Callithrix jacchus: one gene and its partners. The protein of the gene in region 4 interacts with the protein of the main gene of each other region in a biochemical or structural test. Links are inferred from orthologs where the notes say so. Each region holds a gene or a part of one and is shown on either strand. Other genes may lie near its edges.

Region 1 (4,135 bases), on a different chromosome or scaffold from region 4:
TTCCCATCTTCCACAGGTCTCATTTCCTCTTTTCCCCCTTTCCCTTCTGAACCATGGCTCTGAAACCCAAGCCTTCAGCTGTCTGGCTAGGGTTCTCCCACCAGTCATGCCCAGTTCCCAAACCTCCCCATCCCCATCCCGCCCAAGCTACCTTGAACCTCTTGTCCTGGAGAACCTTCTTGATGGCGACCAGTTCCCTGGTCTCTGCCAGCCGTGCCTGGTACACGACCCCAAATGAGCCATTGCCAATCACTTTGATGTCTGTGTAAGCCACCTCTTGGGAGCGCTCTGGGCCTTGGCCTAGAGTGGCTACCACTGTGGTCACCTTCCCGCTGTCACCTGGGGAACAAAGGGGATACACGATCCACTGACCCATCCTGTCTGCACATCGCCCCATCCTGGGGCTGTGGGAGGAAGGGAAATCTCCACAGGAAGCTTGTTGGGGACCTCTTTGTCCCTTCCTCCTCTTTGAGGAGAGGTGGATGCTGGAACTTCCCAGTGACTTTTCCCCTCTTCCTTTCTGGGAAACTTAAATCCTGCCTCTCCTCCACATGGGAGGATATTGATACGTAAACCTCTCTGCTTCAAGGGTTGTCAACCCCAAATTTCTACTTCTAGGAAGCAACAGATCACTGGTCCATCTTGGTACTGGGAGACACCAGATGTTGACTCCATCCACTCTGATCTTCTGCCCTCTGGCCCCTCATATTTGGAGAAAGCTTGACTCAACCTCATCCACTTAAGGGAGCAGAAACCCTGAGTTACTCCTACTTTAGGAAAGCACTAGTCTTTCTCACAGCCTAGAGGATACTGACCTCTAAGTCCTCCCCTGTAGAGCTGTTAACTTCACTGGTTCTTGGTGACAGAAATGAATGTCCTCTCCTGGTATACGTAGCAGTGCCTTGACCCTCACTTTTTGGTACTTTGAGATTAGAAAAAACACTGACCTGACCTCTTCATCTGTGTGGTCCACAGCCCCAGACCCCTCCCTGTATGTGGGTGGTCCCTAATGGACAAGTACCAGATTATGAGAATGATAAACCTGACTTCTATTATCAAGGGGCTAGTCCAGCCTCAGTCCTTTGAAGGAAAGCTACAATTCTCAATTCCCATTATTCAGATGGTAGCAAACCCTGGTGCCATTCTTAGGGGTCTTTGAATAACTGATGAACCAAATCCTTTTTTTTTTTTTTTTTTTGAGACAGAGTTTTGCTTTTGTTGCCTAGGCTGGAATGCAATGGTGCAATCTCAGCTCACTGCAACCTCTGCGCCCTGAGTTCAAGCAATTCTCCTGCCTCAGCCTCCCAAGTAGCTGGGATTACAGGCGCCTGCCACGACGCCCAGCTTATTTTTGTATTTTTAGTAGAGACGGGGTTTCACCATATTGGCCAGGCTGGTCTTGAACTCCTGACCTCAGGTGATCCATCCACCTCGGCCTCCCAAAGTGCTGAGATAACAGGCGTGAACCACCACGCCCAGCCACCAAATCCATTTTGAGGGGCCAGAGACATGTTCTTTCAGAGGGAGATAACCCTACATCACTATTTTTTTTTTCAGAGCCAATGACACCATACCCTAGAACATTTATTAAAGAAGTAAAACCTTAGATCCATAGTCTATAGGAAACTGTGAACCACCCTGCTCCATTCCATTTTTGTTAAAGAAGACACACCAAGCCATGTATTTTAAAATATGGACTATGGACTTGGTTTGAAGGATATGCTGACTCCCAATGTCTTTATATCGAAGAAGCAATACCTATTAATTCTCACCACTGGGGTACAGCTCAACATATTTAGGGTGGGTAATGATGCCAAGTCTTGATGTTAATAGGGAAGATGATCTGAGTACCAGGTTTGGAAAGCCCTGGCCCTATTTTTTGGGGACACAACACAGTAACCTCAAAGCCCTGATTTTAAGTGATATTCACTCCAAATCCCCATCTTCTGAAGGACAGCAAATGCAGATCCCTCTTTTTCGGGGTATTGTCTTATTCCTGTTCTCTTAGGAGACAATAGCTCCCCATTTGCAAGCGACTATGACCTCTGATCCAGTTTTCTAATGAACAGCAACGTAAGATACCTGTTCTTAAGGCTCAAGGGCCCAAGACCTCAATAATGGAAGAACACGGACTTGTAACTCGTTTCTTTAAGTGTTAATAATTCTGATCCCAGAGTAATTCTGACATCCAAGAGATGGTAACCCCAAGACCCCTTTTTCTGGGAGGGAGAGGGCTCGGATCTTCGGTTTAGGGAGGCACAGTGACCTCGAGCTCCTATCTAAGCATATGAAAGAACCTGACGGATGTCTGAGGAGCTTTAGGAACCCTGATCACCACCTACACAGGCGCCGCTAGTACTCACGGCCCAGCTTCACCCCGGGCGGCGGGAAGCTAGTGCCTGCGCCGGGGCCTCCGCTGCCTCCTCCGCCGCTGCCGCCGGGTCCACCCCCGGAGCTCGATGCCCCGACGCCCCCACCCATGGCCCCGACAGACGTCTTCCCGCCGCCGGTGCCGCCTGGGCCGGAGGCCGAGCCTCCTGGGCCGCCGCCGCCGCCTCCGCCTCCGCCGCCTGGCTCCGCAAACGAACTGGTCCGCGCCCTGCCCGAGCCCCCAGGGCCGCCTCCCGAAGGCCCGCCGCCGCTCATGGCGCCGAGCGCAGGCCCAGGCCGCGGGGCTCGGGCTGCCTGGGCTGCCCCAGCCGCCGCTGCTGCCGCCGCCTCCCCCGGGCTCTGGCCTCTTCCAGGCCGCGCCGCTCGGGCTTGGGCTCCGGCTCCGGCCCAGCGCCCGCCGCGGGGCACGCCGGGAGATGCAGTCCGGCTGTCGTCCGCGCCGCCGTCACCGCCCTCGGCCCGCACGGAGAGCCGCGTGGCACGCCGGGAAATGAAGTCCACAAAAGCCTCAAAGTACCACGGGAATGACAGGTCGCGCTGTACGTCGGGAAATGGAGTCCAGGGTAATCTGGCAGCCGACTGTACGACGGGGAGCCCTGAAGGACTTTGGGAAGCAGAGAGCCTGATGCCGCTGGGAAACGGAGTCCACTCACTCAGTCTATTGGTTGTGTATGCGTCCCAGAGCCCGGTGCGCTCTGGGAAATTGAGTCGGCGCGCGTGAACCTGCGGCTCTCCGGCCGTGAAGCAAGCCGGGAAATGGAGTCGTCGCCACGCCCTCACCGCATTGCAGGTGTAAAGAGATTTTTAGAGCACGCCGGGAAACGGAGTCCCAGTTGGTTTCCAAGCCCCAAGTGGCTACTGCAGTTCCGGAGATCGGCGAGGAAATGGCGTAGGTTTCGCGCTCCCCTTCCCAGGTACGCTAGGCCGCAGTACCTGCCGGGAAGTGTAGTCAACACCAAGGCTCTTAGAGCAGTAGCCACAGAGAGCCCTGGTGTGTTCTGGGAAATGAAGTTCCAGGCATCCTCCCCATTGACTGAGGGGGCGGGATCGCCTAAGAGTTCCAAGCGTGCTGGGGAATAGTCCAGACCTGACCTTTTGTAAGGCCAGTCTGCAGAGGCTTGCCGGGAAGCGGAGTCCAATGGCGACGATTGGGGGCGTGTGAGCAAAATTTAGAGGCTGCAGCAGTTCCCTGGAGAGACTTAAAAGTGTTTCAGCGCCTTCTTCCTCGCCCCAGGTCCTTCTTTACGAAAAAGCCGAGGTCGGTCAAGGACTGCTGGAAAATGGAGCCAAGCACCTTTAAGTTCCAGGTGATCATAGATCAAGAAAGAAAAAATGTCCCCTCTCTTGCCCCCCCACCCCCACAACTGTGCAAAGGATTCAGGAAAGAAAGTTTTCTGCGGTTTCTCAGAACACGAGCCGTCGGATACAGTCTAGCTTTTCCTAGCAATGTGGTTAGCACCAGAAAGCTTATTGGAACATTAAAAAGATTGAAATATAATTTCTGGGCCTGGCGAGATGGCTCACGCCTGTAATCCCACCACTTTGGGAGGCCAAAATGGGCGGATCACCTGATGTCAGGAGTTCGAGACCAGCCTGGCCAACATGGCAAAACCCCGTCTCTACTAAAAATACAAAAATTAGCCGGGCGTGGCGGCGGGTGCCTATAATCCCAGGTACTCAGGAGGCTGAGGCAGGAGAATCGCTTGAACCCGGGAGGCGGAGGTTGCGTGAGCCGAGATCGCGC
Region 2 (4,144 bases), on a different chromosome or scaffold from region 4:
AGTCTGATTTATTTAGAAGCCGAAGGAAAAAAAAATCTCTTTTGACAAATACAGAAAGTTTCACAAGTGATTGACACTCTGGTGTGATTATTTCAAGGTATAGTAGTGGTACAATATTCTTCTCTAGGAGTTCATCTTAAAATTATTAGAAAGTCAATGGGGGCTCTGCACAGGGTTCACGCCTGTAATCCTAGCACTTTGAGGGACTGAGGTGGGCGGATCACTTGGGGCCAGGAGTTCCAGACTAGCCTGGTCAACATGGCGAAACCCCATCTCTACTAAAATCAGCGCATGGTGGTGGGCACCTCTAATCCCAGCTACTCGGGAGGCTGAGGCAGGAGGATTCCTTGAACTCAGGAGACGGAAGCTGCAGTGAGCAGAGATGGCACCACTACACTCCAACCTGGGTGAGAGAGTGACATTCTGTCTCAAAAACAAAACAACAAAAAAAGAAAGTCAATGGGAAAAACAGATTCAAATAACACTTTGCCCATAACTTCAAGTCTGCATTCTGATGTTCATAGCAAGGTTAACTGACTCAGCTCATTTCAAACCTGTACAATTCACTTCACATTAGAGCTTGAGAAAGATATTTAAAGTATAAATTTTAAGACACAATAAAATGAATGTTTACTGAAGCCACAAGTAAGCAGTTTGTTTCAGAAAAAGAAAAATACCACTTGCTTGGCACTTCTATTTACAAAAATAAATTCTTCGGTGTTAACCAATAGTTACTTAATACATAAAGGTCTCAGGCAACATTATACCCGTTAAAAACACTATTTTAACTTAACACTATTAGTGCTTCTTTTCTAAGTAAATTTCATGATTTTAAGAATGTCCTAAAATAAGACTAACAAAAAATTGTCCTTTTCTTGTGTATTTCTGCAATATCATGATTTCTAAGCGTTATGGTTAAAAAAAAAAAAGTACAGATTATGTTAAAAATAAATAACCTCGTTACTTCATGGACTTCAAGTGGGAATTTTTAACATGAAAAATATTTAGTCCATCTTATAAAGGATAAATGTGGAAAATTAGACTTTAAAGATGGAGAGATGGAAATGATTCCAGGGGTTAAGACAACAAGGAATATAGTATTTATAAAGTGAAGATCACTTTACAAACTCATGAACGATGTACAAGAAAGAATTGACCACCTGCAGGCGTTATTCTTCGGAAAAGAAAAAACTTTATATTAAAATGGAGAATAATTGTCTGAAAAGTGCTATCATGCGTGAAAACGCACACCCCACCTCATTTCCAGCAAACACGGTTCCCAAACTCAAGACCCGCTCTCGTTTAGGAAAATCAATGCTTTACTTCCAAGAGCGAGTGAAGGCAAAGACCAGTCACCATCTGTTTCCACCAAAGTCAACCTCTATTTTAAAAATCGCAGCTGGCCATCACGCCTACCTCTCCACAAACAAACGCTTGACACATTAAAGAGCCAGTAATTTTTTTTTTTTTCTTTTTTCGGAGACAGGGTCTTGCTCTGTCGCTCAGGCTGGAGTACAGTGGCGCGACTTCAGCTAACTGCAGCCTCCACCTCCTGGATTCAAGCGAACCTCCGGCCTCAACCTCACGAATAGCTGGGATTACTGGCACCCGCCACCATGCCCCACTAATTTATTTTTTATTTTTTTTTTTGTGGAGACAGGGCCTCACTATGTTGACCAGGTTGGTCTCTTAACTCTTGGGCTCAAGCAATCCTCCCGCATTAGCCTCCCGAGTAGCTGTGACCACAGGCGTGAGTCACAGCACTTGTGAGTGATTTTTGAGGTGCCTCGTTCGCCTGACAAAAATTCTACATTAATTAACAAGTTCATTAGTAGGTACGACATTCTGGTTAATTTTAGGTGCATTTTCAGAGACAGCATTGCTCCTTTTCGGACGCCGCTCTCGGTAGCCCACTCGGGACATGCTGGAGTGGCAGGAACTCCCCAGGGGAGCGCAGGCAACCTGACCAACCTCAGGCTCGACTCCGGGGGGCGCGTTTCCCTTTCCGTCCACACCCGAGCCCCCACGCCCGGGATCTGGGCCGCCGGCCGCGGGCGTGGGGCGTGTCAGCGCCGAGGCAGAGGCGCCGGGCGAGGGCAGTCCAACGCTCCGGTCCCTGACCGGCCGGGCCCGCCGCCCGAATGGAGGCCGGGGCTGCAACCCCGCAGGCCCCCGGTGGGCCAAGCCGGGCCGGGAGCGGACGGGCCTGGGACGTGCAGGAAGGAAAGCGGCGGCCGCGGCCCATCCCAGCCCCGCGCTCTCGCACTCCCGCACTCGCCCCCGCGGCGCCCTCACCTTCTCGCACAGCGTCCGCACTTGGTTCTCGTTCAGCTGCTTACACTCGTTCAGCTGCTCGACCCACTGGTCCAGCTCCTTGGTGAACGCCTTGTCGTCCATGGCGGCCCGATCCCGATGCGGATCCCGAGCCCCTGCCCCGCAGCCGCCCTCCCCCCACCCCACCCGCCCCCGGCCCCGGCCCGGGCGCCGCTCCCCTCTCCCTCCGCCGCCGCCGCCAGATCCCACTGGGGGAAGACAGAGCTAGGGAGGGCGGCCGCGGGCCCCGCGCCCCGCCCAAGCCCAGAAGGCGGTTCCGAGCGCGCGGCCTGGAGGAGACCCCCGCCCGCCCTTTCTCGCCTGGCCGCGCGCCGCGCGAATAGGTGAAGGACGCGGGGAGGTGCCGGGGAGCGCGCCGCGGGTTCTCGGCCAACTCCCGCTGGACGAAGGCCGTCCGCCGCCACCTCACACCCGCCGGCCTCTACAGGCTATCTTTCCCCTTCTCTCGCTCTTTCTCTCCCCTCCCTCCAGGTTTCCGTCATCGCTCGGGCATTTCCGCCGGGAAAAGGCGAGCAGGCGGCACCGCCCGCCCACGGCGCACTAGGAGCAGAACAGCGCCCTCGCTTGGCCTGGCGGAGAAACGGTCTGAGGAGGCCGGGGTCCCTCCTCCTTTCTCAACCCTGCCCCAGACCAAGCTCTGCTGGTTCTCCCTTCAGATAGACTGATCTCTGGGAACTTTGTCCTCACTTTAGCTTCCTGCAGTACTTTTTCAGTGCTCTGGACAGGGAATTGGAAAACTTGGGCTCCCCTTAACATTGTTCCCCCCAGAGTCTAGCACTCAATAGCAGGCATTCAATATTGATGGAGTAAATAATTGATTATTTACAGCCGGGTCTGTAGTCCTAACATCTCGAATCCTTCCCTTCAACATTAGAAAAGTGAAATGGTTGTTCTGTAGGATAATCTGTGGCCCTTCCAGCTCTAGCGTTCTTGACTGCGTTTTCTGCAATATGTACTGAGGTTAATGATTTGTTCATTCAACAAATATTTATTGAGACAGAGGAGGGACCCCTTCTTAGGGGCCAGCTAGGCACCCCCCTCCCCAAGTATGGAAAGGAAAATCTTGAGTTCTCTCAAGGGACATTCCCGGCACCTAACTTCCTCGAGAAGTCAATGAGCAACCTGATAAGCAAGAAGGTAATAAAAGCTTAAGGCAGTAACCAAGGACGTTAGATTCACAAAATGTTTGGTTCCTTAAAGAAACTAAAGAGGACGATGTCCCTGAGTTGTTTTTTAGAAACCTGGACCCTCACCAAATGGAAAGTGCTGTCCACTGGCATGGAGACTTCAAACTATCTATCTTTGTTCTAAATTTCTTACTGAGGAGCCTGGAAAAATTCACAAAGCTTTGCCTCCTTAACCAGTTGCAAATCATAAAATCTTTGAATCCATCTATGACCTGTGGGTCCCTGCTTCAGATATCTTGGCTTTTTAGATCAAATTCATGTATAGTCTCCATGTATTGATTTATGACTTTGCCTGTAACCTCTGCCTCCCTGCCTTTAAAAACCCTTACCTGGGCTGGGCACAATGGCTCACGCCTATAATCCCAGCACTTTGGGAGGCTGAGGTGAGTGGATCATCTGAGATCAGGAGTTCAAGACCAGCCTGGCCAACATGGTGAAACCCGTTTCTACTAAAAATACGAAAATTAGCCAGGCATGGTAGCGGGCACCTGTAATAATCCCAGCTACTCGGGAGGTTGAGGCAGAAGAATCACTTGATACTGGAAGGCAGAGGTTGCCCCATGAGCCAAGATCTCACTATTGCACTCCAACCTGGTGACAAGAGTGAAAAAAAAAAAAAAGGA
Region 3 (4,018 bases), on a different chromosome or scaffold from region 4:
CCCGTCTCTACTAAAAATACAAAAAATTAGCTGGGCGTGGTGGCACCAGCCTGTAGTCCCAGCTACTCTGGAGCCTGAGGCACAAGAATCGTTTGAACCTGGGAGGCACAGGTTGCAGTGAGCAGAGATCGTGTGACTGCGCTCCAACCTAGGTGGCAAGAGCAAAAACGCCATTTCAAAACAAAAACAACAACAACAAAACAAAAAAAGAGGCTCCAGTAAACAGTAAATACCATTCTCAACTATTCTGAAAATTTTTGCAAATTTTTTTTTATTATCGCTGGAAAACAGCTGGGTTTTAAACTACATTTTAGTCTCTATTCCATGAAGAGGCTCTTTTAATCCCTAAAGTCAAAACATTACTCTAAAACCCTCAAGAGTTGACGGAACAATGTATTTCTATCTCGTCACCTTGTATCCTCATTACCACTATTTGTATCCACCAATATTCCACACCAAAAAAGGCCACAATTTCTCTGATGTTAAAATTTACTGATAAACTCAACAGGTTAAAATTACTTATCAAAGTGTGGCTAAGTGATTAAGCTCTCTTTTAATAAAACTGAGCTGAGTAAATTTTAACATGGTGGTGCTCAAACTGCCTCTGCCACTATCTATACAAATTTAGTTTGGACTGAAAAGTGACAAACATGACCATTCACTAAAGGAAAGAGTAATTAACACTTTTAAAAGAACTACAAAGGATTTTACATAGTATAATTCAACAATTTCGTATCATATCTGCTGACGAGATCACAAACATTGTCACTATGCCATGTCCTTCCTGGAACCCCACTGGCTCCTGCAGCTTTATTCTTGACTTTTTCAAAGGTTTAAACCACTTGGGGCTGCTGAAGGAGGTATCAAGGAAGCATAATTTGTGAACCCAAGCTGAGAAAAGGGCAGGAATATGGGGTTGAGTCACGTCGTTCCGCCATTTTCTAAGCGGAGGAGGAAGACATGTTGGAACAAAAACACAACAAAAGAGCAGCCATTTCCCAAGCCAGCTCCAATAGCAACCCGAAATGACACTGCCCTGTCGCTTCGCCACCTTCAAATCCACTTCACTGAGCAAACCTCTGAACACCAGACATGCCGCCGTAAAAAAGGCAGCAGTCAAACCTTCCGCGTAGAGATCAAAGATGACCTGCACACTTTACTGCAAATGAAAGCCTCGGGAAGAGGGAGAAATGACGGAAGCGAAATGGGACACAGTGTAATACAATGAAATTTTAAACTAAGTTAGCAAACTGAAATTTACTCAGTGATTGCGATAACTGACTTACAGGAAGCCACTAGCTGTAGGGAACCCAGGTAACTGAAACACCAAGACCTGGATTCAGCTGGTCTCCTTACCTGCCTCTACCCACTTCCCCATTCCGTGCTTCCCTCAGCAGACCGCCTATATGCACAGGGTTCTTACCGTATGTGGGGGATGCCAACCCCACCTTGAAGAATCTTATAGAGCTTGCTCTCGTACAGCAACTGGGGATGCCTGGCCTTCTGAGATTCTAGCTTCACTGCCACTTCCTGCAGGGGAAAGAGGGATGATGGCATCAACATCCCTACGGATTCAATGTCACTTAGGAAAGGAGGGAGAGACATTAGCAAAACTCCAAGTCGCGACTACAGGGAAAAAGCGAAAGACTGGAAAGAGAAAGCTCTCTGTAATTATAAAATGAGGCAACCAGCCTCTTCAGGGGGTAGTGACGAAATCCCTACCTCTTCTAAAGTGCAGGAAAATGATTCATCCAGAAAAAAAGAGGCAACCTCTGAACGTAATGAGAGGTTTTTAAGGAACTAGGCGATCGGAAACTGTTCTAATTGGAATAAGAGGCCAGCAGAATTAAAAATAAAATAAAATAAAAGCATGGGAATCACAGAAATAGGATTTTGCCGTTTCCACCTTAAAAAACGGTTAAAAAAAAAAAAGTTCAACTAAGGGACATTTATGGGACGTGTTTAACAAGCTGGGAACCTTCCCCAACCTTTCTATCGGGTTCTTGATCCTTTTAGGGAAAGAGCGGGGGAGGTTCAAAAGCCAGGAAAACTAGCTCTCTGGACTCCCTGACGAGTGCGTGCGGTGGGGAGAGGCCCAAGCACTTTAGGGGTGCGCGGTGGTGGGGGCGGGGAATGAGGAAATGCCCAGCGTTATCGTCAACCCTACCCCAGGTGATTACCTCGCCGTTGGTGATGTTGATCGCCAGATAGATGTCCCCGAAGGAGCCAGACCCGATCTTCCGTACCAGTTTGTATTTCCCTCCGACAATGAATTCGGCCTTGGAGCCGCTGCTGCTCGCCATCCTGAGAGACGAAGATGGAGGCTGGGGCCAAGCCCCGACACCTCTGAGGGGAAGACGGAGACCTCTCGAGCTCCTACACCGGGCAAGGCTACGGAGGAAGGCAGCAGGAAACGGAACACAGAGGCCTTTACCGGCGTTCGGGGCCCAGAATCAGCCGAGGGGAACCTGATCACCACCGCTCAGTCAGGTTTCTTTTTGCCAGGCCGCACTTTGTGAAGGGCTTCTCGCGGCTACCAGGCTGGGCCACTTGTTCTCGTTGGCGGCCGATGCCTGCTTGAGCGGCGACGTCGCGGGCAGGAAAAGGGGCGCGGTGAGCTAGGGCGGCGATACCACTGCCAGCACTGCTGCTGGCTCCGGCCCGGAGGGACCCCTGTCACTCCGCCGACGACGCCATCTTGTTACTCCAGCTCCAGCCAACACAAAATGCCCCCAGTCCCCGGGAGCCGCTTCTTCACGGCGCAGAGCACTCTGGGAAAGGGATCTCGGGCGCTCGCTCCGGAGGATCTGCAGCCAGAGGGAGGGCGGAACCGGATCCGTGAGAGTCGCGGCCCACGCTCCAAGCGTCACCTCGTCACCGCCCAGCTGCGCATGAGCACTGTAACTCCTGCTGACTGCGCAGGCGTGCCGCGGCTGGTACTCACCCCGCCCCAGGCTCTCTTCCACTTCCGGTTGGCGGCTGTTCAGCCGGTGCTACCTGTTACCACGGACCCGCCCGGACCCGCCCGGTCTCTGGAAGGCTGAGTGGCCTCAGGCACCGATGTCAGGGAGAAGTCACCTTCCCGTTTCCTAACAGATAAAAGCTTCAGGCCTCCTTAGGAGTTTGGTATTGACCTTTGCTCTTTGTTTCAGGAGGTTTTTTTTTTTTTTTTTTTGAGACGGAGTTTCACTCTTGTTACCCAGGCTGGAGTGCAATGGCGCGATCTCGGCTCACCGCAGCCTCCGCCTCCTGGGTTCAAGCAATTCTCCTGCCTCAGCCTCCCGAGTAGCTGGGATTACAGGCCCACGCCACTATGCCCAGCCAATTTTTTTTTTTGTACTTTTAGTAGAGACAGGGTTTCACCATGTTGACCAGGATGGTCTCGATCTCTTGACCTCGTGATCCACCCGCCTCGGCCTCCCAAAGTGCTGGGATTATAGGTATGAGCCACCGCGCCCGGCCTGTTTCAGGCGGTTTTTAATCTTTGATCTTCTGGCCGCTCCCCCCGACCGGCCTATTGCAACCAAGTTTCTGTTTGGAAAGAGGCTATCGCCTCTGGTGGAGAAGAAGAGAAAAGCAGCCCGCGTATCGGGCTGATCGAATCGTTCAGGGCTCTCGGTTGTAGCAAAGCCCAGCTAATTACCCTTCATAAATAGAACTGTGTTCTCTACTACGGAGTGTTAGAGACCCTGTTTGCTCAGGAGGGGAAAAAAGAAGCCGGAATCCTCCTACCGTCCTTTGTCTTTGCATTATTGCCCCACTACCACATTTGATCTTCATGAGAAAACCGGGTATCTTGCCATAATGAAGATTAGTAATAGGTGGAATCAACAGAAAATTAACAAGAGTGAAAAAACTGTTCTAGCCCTCCTCCCAATCCCACCAAAAAAACGAAAAAAAAAAAAAGAATCATATGTTGGTCATATGGAAAACCTCAATATTAACCTTAACATATAGCAGAGGTAACTGTCGCAAAACATAATTGACAACATTTAAAACCATATGGTAGCCAGGGGCA
Region 4 (3,511 bases):
ATTTCTACGTGGAACGTGAACTCGGGGGGCACGTCCTGCCCTTCAGCCAGCCCTGCACTGGGCCCGTCAGGCTCTGAGGCCGGGGTCTCTGCAGAAACTTTGGAGAGGAAATCGACTGGGAGGGGGATGGTGCCTTCTGCTGGGAAGCCTGGGACACTGGTGGCTTCTCTGGTGAATGTCTGGGGAGGTGGTCCATCTCGGACTGGGGAGACCTGGGAGGGAGGGGAGTCCTGTGGGGAGGACTCATCAACGTCTCGGTCTTCATCCACCTCCTTCTCGTCCCCCGGCCTCTCTTTGCTCCCGGTCCCCTTCAGTGGCAGCTCCTCCGGGTGCAGATCTCCCAGAAGCTGGCGCTTCAGCAGCTCAGGGGCATGGCAGCCACCCTTTGTGTCCTCAGGTCCTGTCCCCAAAGGCTGGTGTGTGGCCTCTCTGCGGCTCTCAGGCAGGAAGGGAGCCCCAGGCATGCCAGACACGAGTTGGTGGCTCAGGCTTGGGGTGCCTGGCTCTCTGAGGAAGCCTTCCTGGACCATCTTACCACTCTCAGGCTCCATGTGGAGATATGCAGGGGCAGCGGGCTTCAGAAAGGCCGGACCCTCCTCGGTCCAGTTCCCGCCTTTTGGTCCCCACTCCTGGGAGGGCTCCTGAGGGCCTCCTGTTGGAGGAGGTGCTGGGCAAACAGGACGGTGCTGAGGAAGGCTTGCAGTCAATGGGACAGGAACTTCCGACTTTTTCTCCCTCAGGCACGGCCCAGAGACCCCAGGGGCCACTCTGCAGGGTCCAGGCTGGACATAAGCGCTAAGCTCATTGACCCGGGGCCTTTCAGGTGCCTTCCTCTGCTGGCCCGGAACTCTCAACTCCTCTGGTTTGAAGAGGCAGCGATAGCAAAAGGTTAGCAAGGTCACATCAATTGCTTAAGAGAGGGAGCATCATCCTGGACAAAATGACATTGAAAGGGCATCACAGGTCCCCTGACAAAGAGATAGGAGCATGGCTCTGGGCTCATCTCATTGCCTTTGGTGCTGGGAATGACAGCTCTCCTGGTCTAGCTGCCACCAGCTCGCTGGGTGGCACTGGGTGAGCCCCTGCCCTCTCTGGGACTGTCACCTCATCTGTAAAGGGGAGTCTTGGATGTGGTGACCTCCGAGGCCCCTTCTGATATGGGTGTTATTCCTCTGCCTGTGATGGGCTCCAGTTGGGCATAGAGTATGTCACACATCTGGAGCCAGCCTAGGCTTAATCACTGCGAAAGCAGGAGAGCTACAGAAGTGTCTCCAACATTCTAGAAAATCTGAGTGTCCCAAAGATTCTAGCCTCTAGATGGTACCTGGCTTGGGTGTAGTGAGACTCCCCTTTCCTCTCCCTACCTTTCACTCTTCCCCCTGCCACCTTTTTTTTTTTGATACATGGTCTCACTCTGTCACCCAGGCGGGAGTGCAGTGGTGCAGTCGTGCAGTCACAGCTCAGTGCAGCTTTAAACTCCCGGGCTCAAACGATCCTCCCGTCTCAGCCTCCCGAGTAGTTGGGCCCACAGATGCACGCCACCATGTATGGCTAATATATTATTTTTTATTACTGTAGAGATGGGGTCTCCTTATGTTGCTCAGGCTGGTCTTGAACTCCCGGGCTCAAGCAATTCTCCTGCCTTGGGGGTTACAGGCATGAGCCACCATATTTGACTTCTGCTCCCTTTTTTGGTAAATGAAACGAGTGAAACCGGTGCCCACAAACTCTACCTCAAGCACAGTGTCTGACAGATTCGGAAAATCCAAAATGTGTGATCGTCAAGAACGAAGTCTTTACCGACTGACCTGCCACAAGACTCCTCAAAAAAGAAGACCCATTCAGATCTACCGGGGCCACTGACCGCAGACAAGCCCCCTGCACAGCTGAGGTCAGCCCGTTTGGGAGGAAGGGCTCTGCACGGCAGACAGTGATGGCCCTCAGGACCACCACCGTGCCCTGGTCACACAGCTTGCTGCTCGCCAATCCAGCTGATTAAGGGCACACTTCATTTTTTTCTGGCTCATTCATGTGACATTCATTAATGTGGCTGCGTGTTAAGAACAGGAGGATTACACTCCTTGGTTCTCCTAATAAGCACCCTTGATGTTTTTTTTTTTAACTCCCAACTCTTTGAATACCCCACCTTGTCCCAGTACAACAACATGCAACTCAACAGCTCTGCTTTAAACAAAACCTGCAGCCCTGAAGGATTTGGGGGCTTGGAAAAGAAAGAGATTTGGATGAGGCGAGGGAGGAAGGTGCAGTCATGGACGCACAGGTAACACGTGGGCCTGACCCAGTCGGAGACAGGGTGGTTGCCATGGCCTCCTCCCTGACAGGCCCGGTTCCAGCGCAGCAGCACCTCCAGCCTGACGCTGGCCACGCTTAAAGCTCCTGCAATCCCTGTTCCTACATCCACCACAGTGCCTGCCACATGGCAGGTGGTTAAATCAGTGGATCCTGCGCGAATCAACTGGTGTCTCTGCTTCTCACAGGCTCTGTAGGTGTCTTATGGGAGACCTTGATCAGTCTCCGGGAAGATCAGCCAGAGGCAACCCTGAGCCTGAGCGTCAGGACTGACCAGAGGCAGGGGCTGCCCCTACGCCACCCCGACGAGCCAGGTCTCCACTGCCTTCTAGAAGACGCTTTCCTCCTGGAGTTTACTACAGTGCTCTTGACTGGGATGTTACTGTACTCTGATATAATACAATACTTTAAGAAACACCATTAAAAAAAGAGACAAGGACCCCAAACATAAATAGCAAATGTTCCTTGAAAAATCATGGATACAGGATTGTACTCTGTGTGTGTGTGTGTGTGTGTGTGTATCAATGAGGAAACTGACATGATCAATTACACCCCTGGAGGAAGAAGCCAGGTTAGGAGAATTTTTTTTTTTAAGACGGAGTCTCACTCACTTTGTCGCTCGGGCTAGGGTTCAGTGCCATGATCTCAGCTCACTGCAACCTCCACCTCCCAGGTTTAAGCAGTTCTTTTGCCTCAGTAGCAATTCTCTTGCCTCCTACTCCTCCCGAGTAGCTGAGTAGCTGAGATTACAGATGTGTACCACCTCACCTGGCTAACTTTTGTATTTTTAGTAGAGACAGGGTTTTACCACATTGGCCAGGCTGGTCTCGCGCTCCTGGCCTCAAGTGATCTGCTTGTCTTATCCTCCCAAAGTGCTGGGATTACAGACGCAAGCCACCGCACCCGGCCTGGTTGGGAGAATGTTCTATTGATTTCCTAGCATGCTAGGTACTCAGTAAATATTAAATGTAGCAATTCCTAGGGGTTAGAAGGCGTTCAAGATAAATGAGTATTGTAAACACAGTAGTCCAGGTAGGTTAAGCCCCCATGCCCTCTTCAGGAGGCCTGGTCTCCCGACACTTACAGAAGAAAAGTCCACCCCTCGTATATAGGCCTTCCCATATCTTATTCTCAACACACTGCAGCTCTATCCTCAAACACCTTATTCCATTTTGCTAATAGGTACTTTATCCCTATAGGA

Evidence for each region. The genes of interacting proteins can lie anywhere in the genome.
Region 1: of the proteins of MAPT (region 4) and GSK3A, one has a biochemical effect on the other in vitro, tested with the Homo sapiens proteins (4 studies listed by BioGRID and IntAct). The link is inferred for Callithrix jacchus from reciprocal best matches to the Homo sapiens genes MAPT and GSK3A.
Region 2: of the proteins of MAPT (region 4) and PPP2CB, one has a biochemical effect on the other in vitro, tested with the Homo sapiens proteins (2 studies listed by BioGRID). The link is inferred for Callithrix jacchus from reciprocal best matches to the Homo sapiens genes MAPT and PPP2CB.
Region 3: of the proteins of MAPT (region 4) and CSNK1A1, one has a biochemical effect on the other in vitro, tested with the Homo sapiens proteins (2 studies listed by BioGRID). The link is inferred for Callithrix jacchus from reciprocal best matches to the Homo sapiens genes MAPT and CSNK1A1.

What each region holds. Positions count from the first base shown.
Region 1 is NC_133523.1:37,269,657-37,273,791, forward strand, and holds the start of GSK3A (glycogen synthase kinase-3 alpha), read right to left. Parts: upstream 2,812-4,135; 5' UTR 2,647-2,811; coding exon 2,364-2,646; intron 340-2,363; coding exon 152-339; intron 1-151. UniProt on the Homo sapiens protein: Constitutively active protein kinase that acts as a negative regulator in the hormonal control of glucose homeostasis, Wnt signaling and regulation of transcription factors and microtubules, by phosphorylating and inactivating glycogen synthase (GYS1 or GYS2), CTNNB1/beta-catenin, APC and AXIN1.
Region 2 is NC_133514.1:31,978,065-31,982,208, forward strand, and holds the start of PPP2CB (serine/threonine-protein phosphatase 2A catalytic subunit beta isoform), read right to left. Parts: upstream 2,812-4,144; 5' UTR 2,398-2,811; coding exon 2,296-2,397; intron 1-2,295.
Region 3 is NC_133503.1:48,239,709-48,243,726, forward strand, and holds the start of CSNK1A1 (casein kinase I), read right to left. Parts: upstream 2,812-4,018; 5' UTR 2,304-2,811; coding exon 2,181-2,303; intron 1,531-2,180; coding exon 1,424-1,530; intron 1-1,423.
Region 4 is NC_133506.1:86,721,000-86,724,510, reverse strand, and holds part of MAPT (microtubule-associated protein tau), read right to left. Parts: intron 860-3,511; coding exon 1-859. UniProt on the Homo sapiens protein: Promotes microtubule assembly and stability, and might be involved in the establishment and maintenance of neuronal polarity.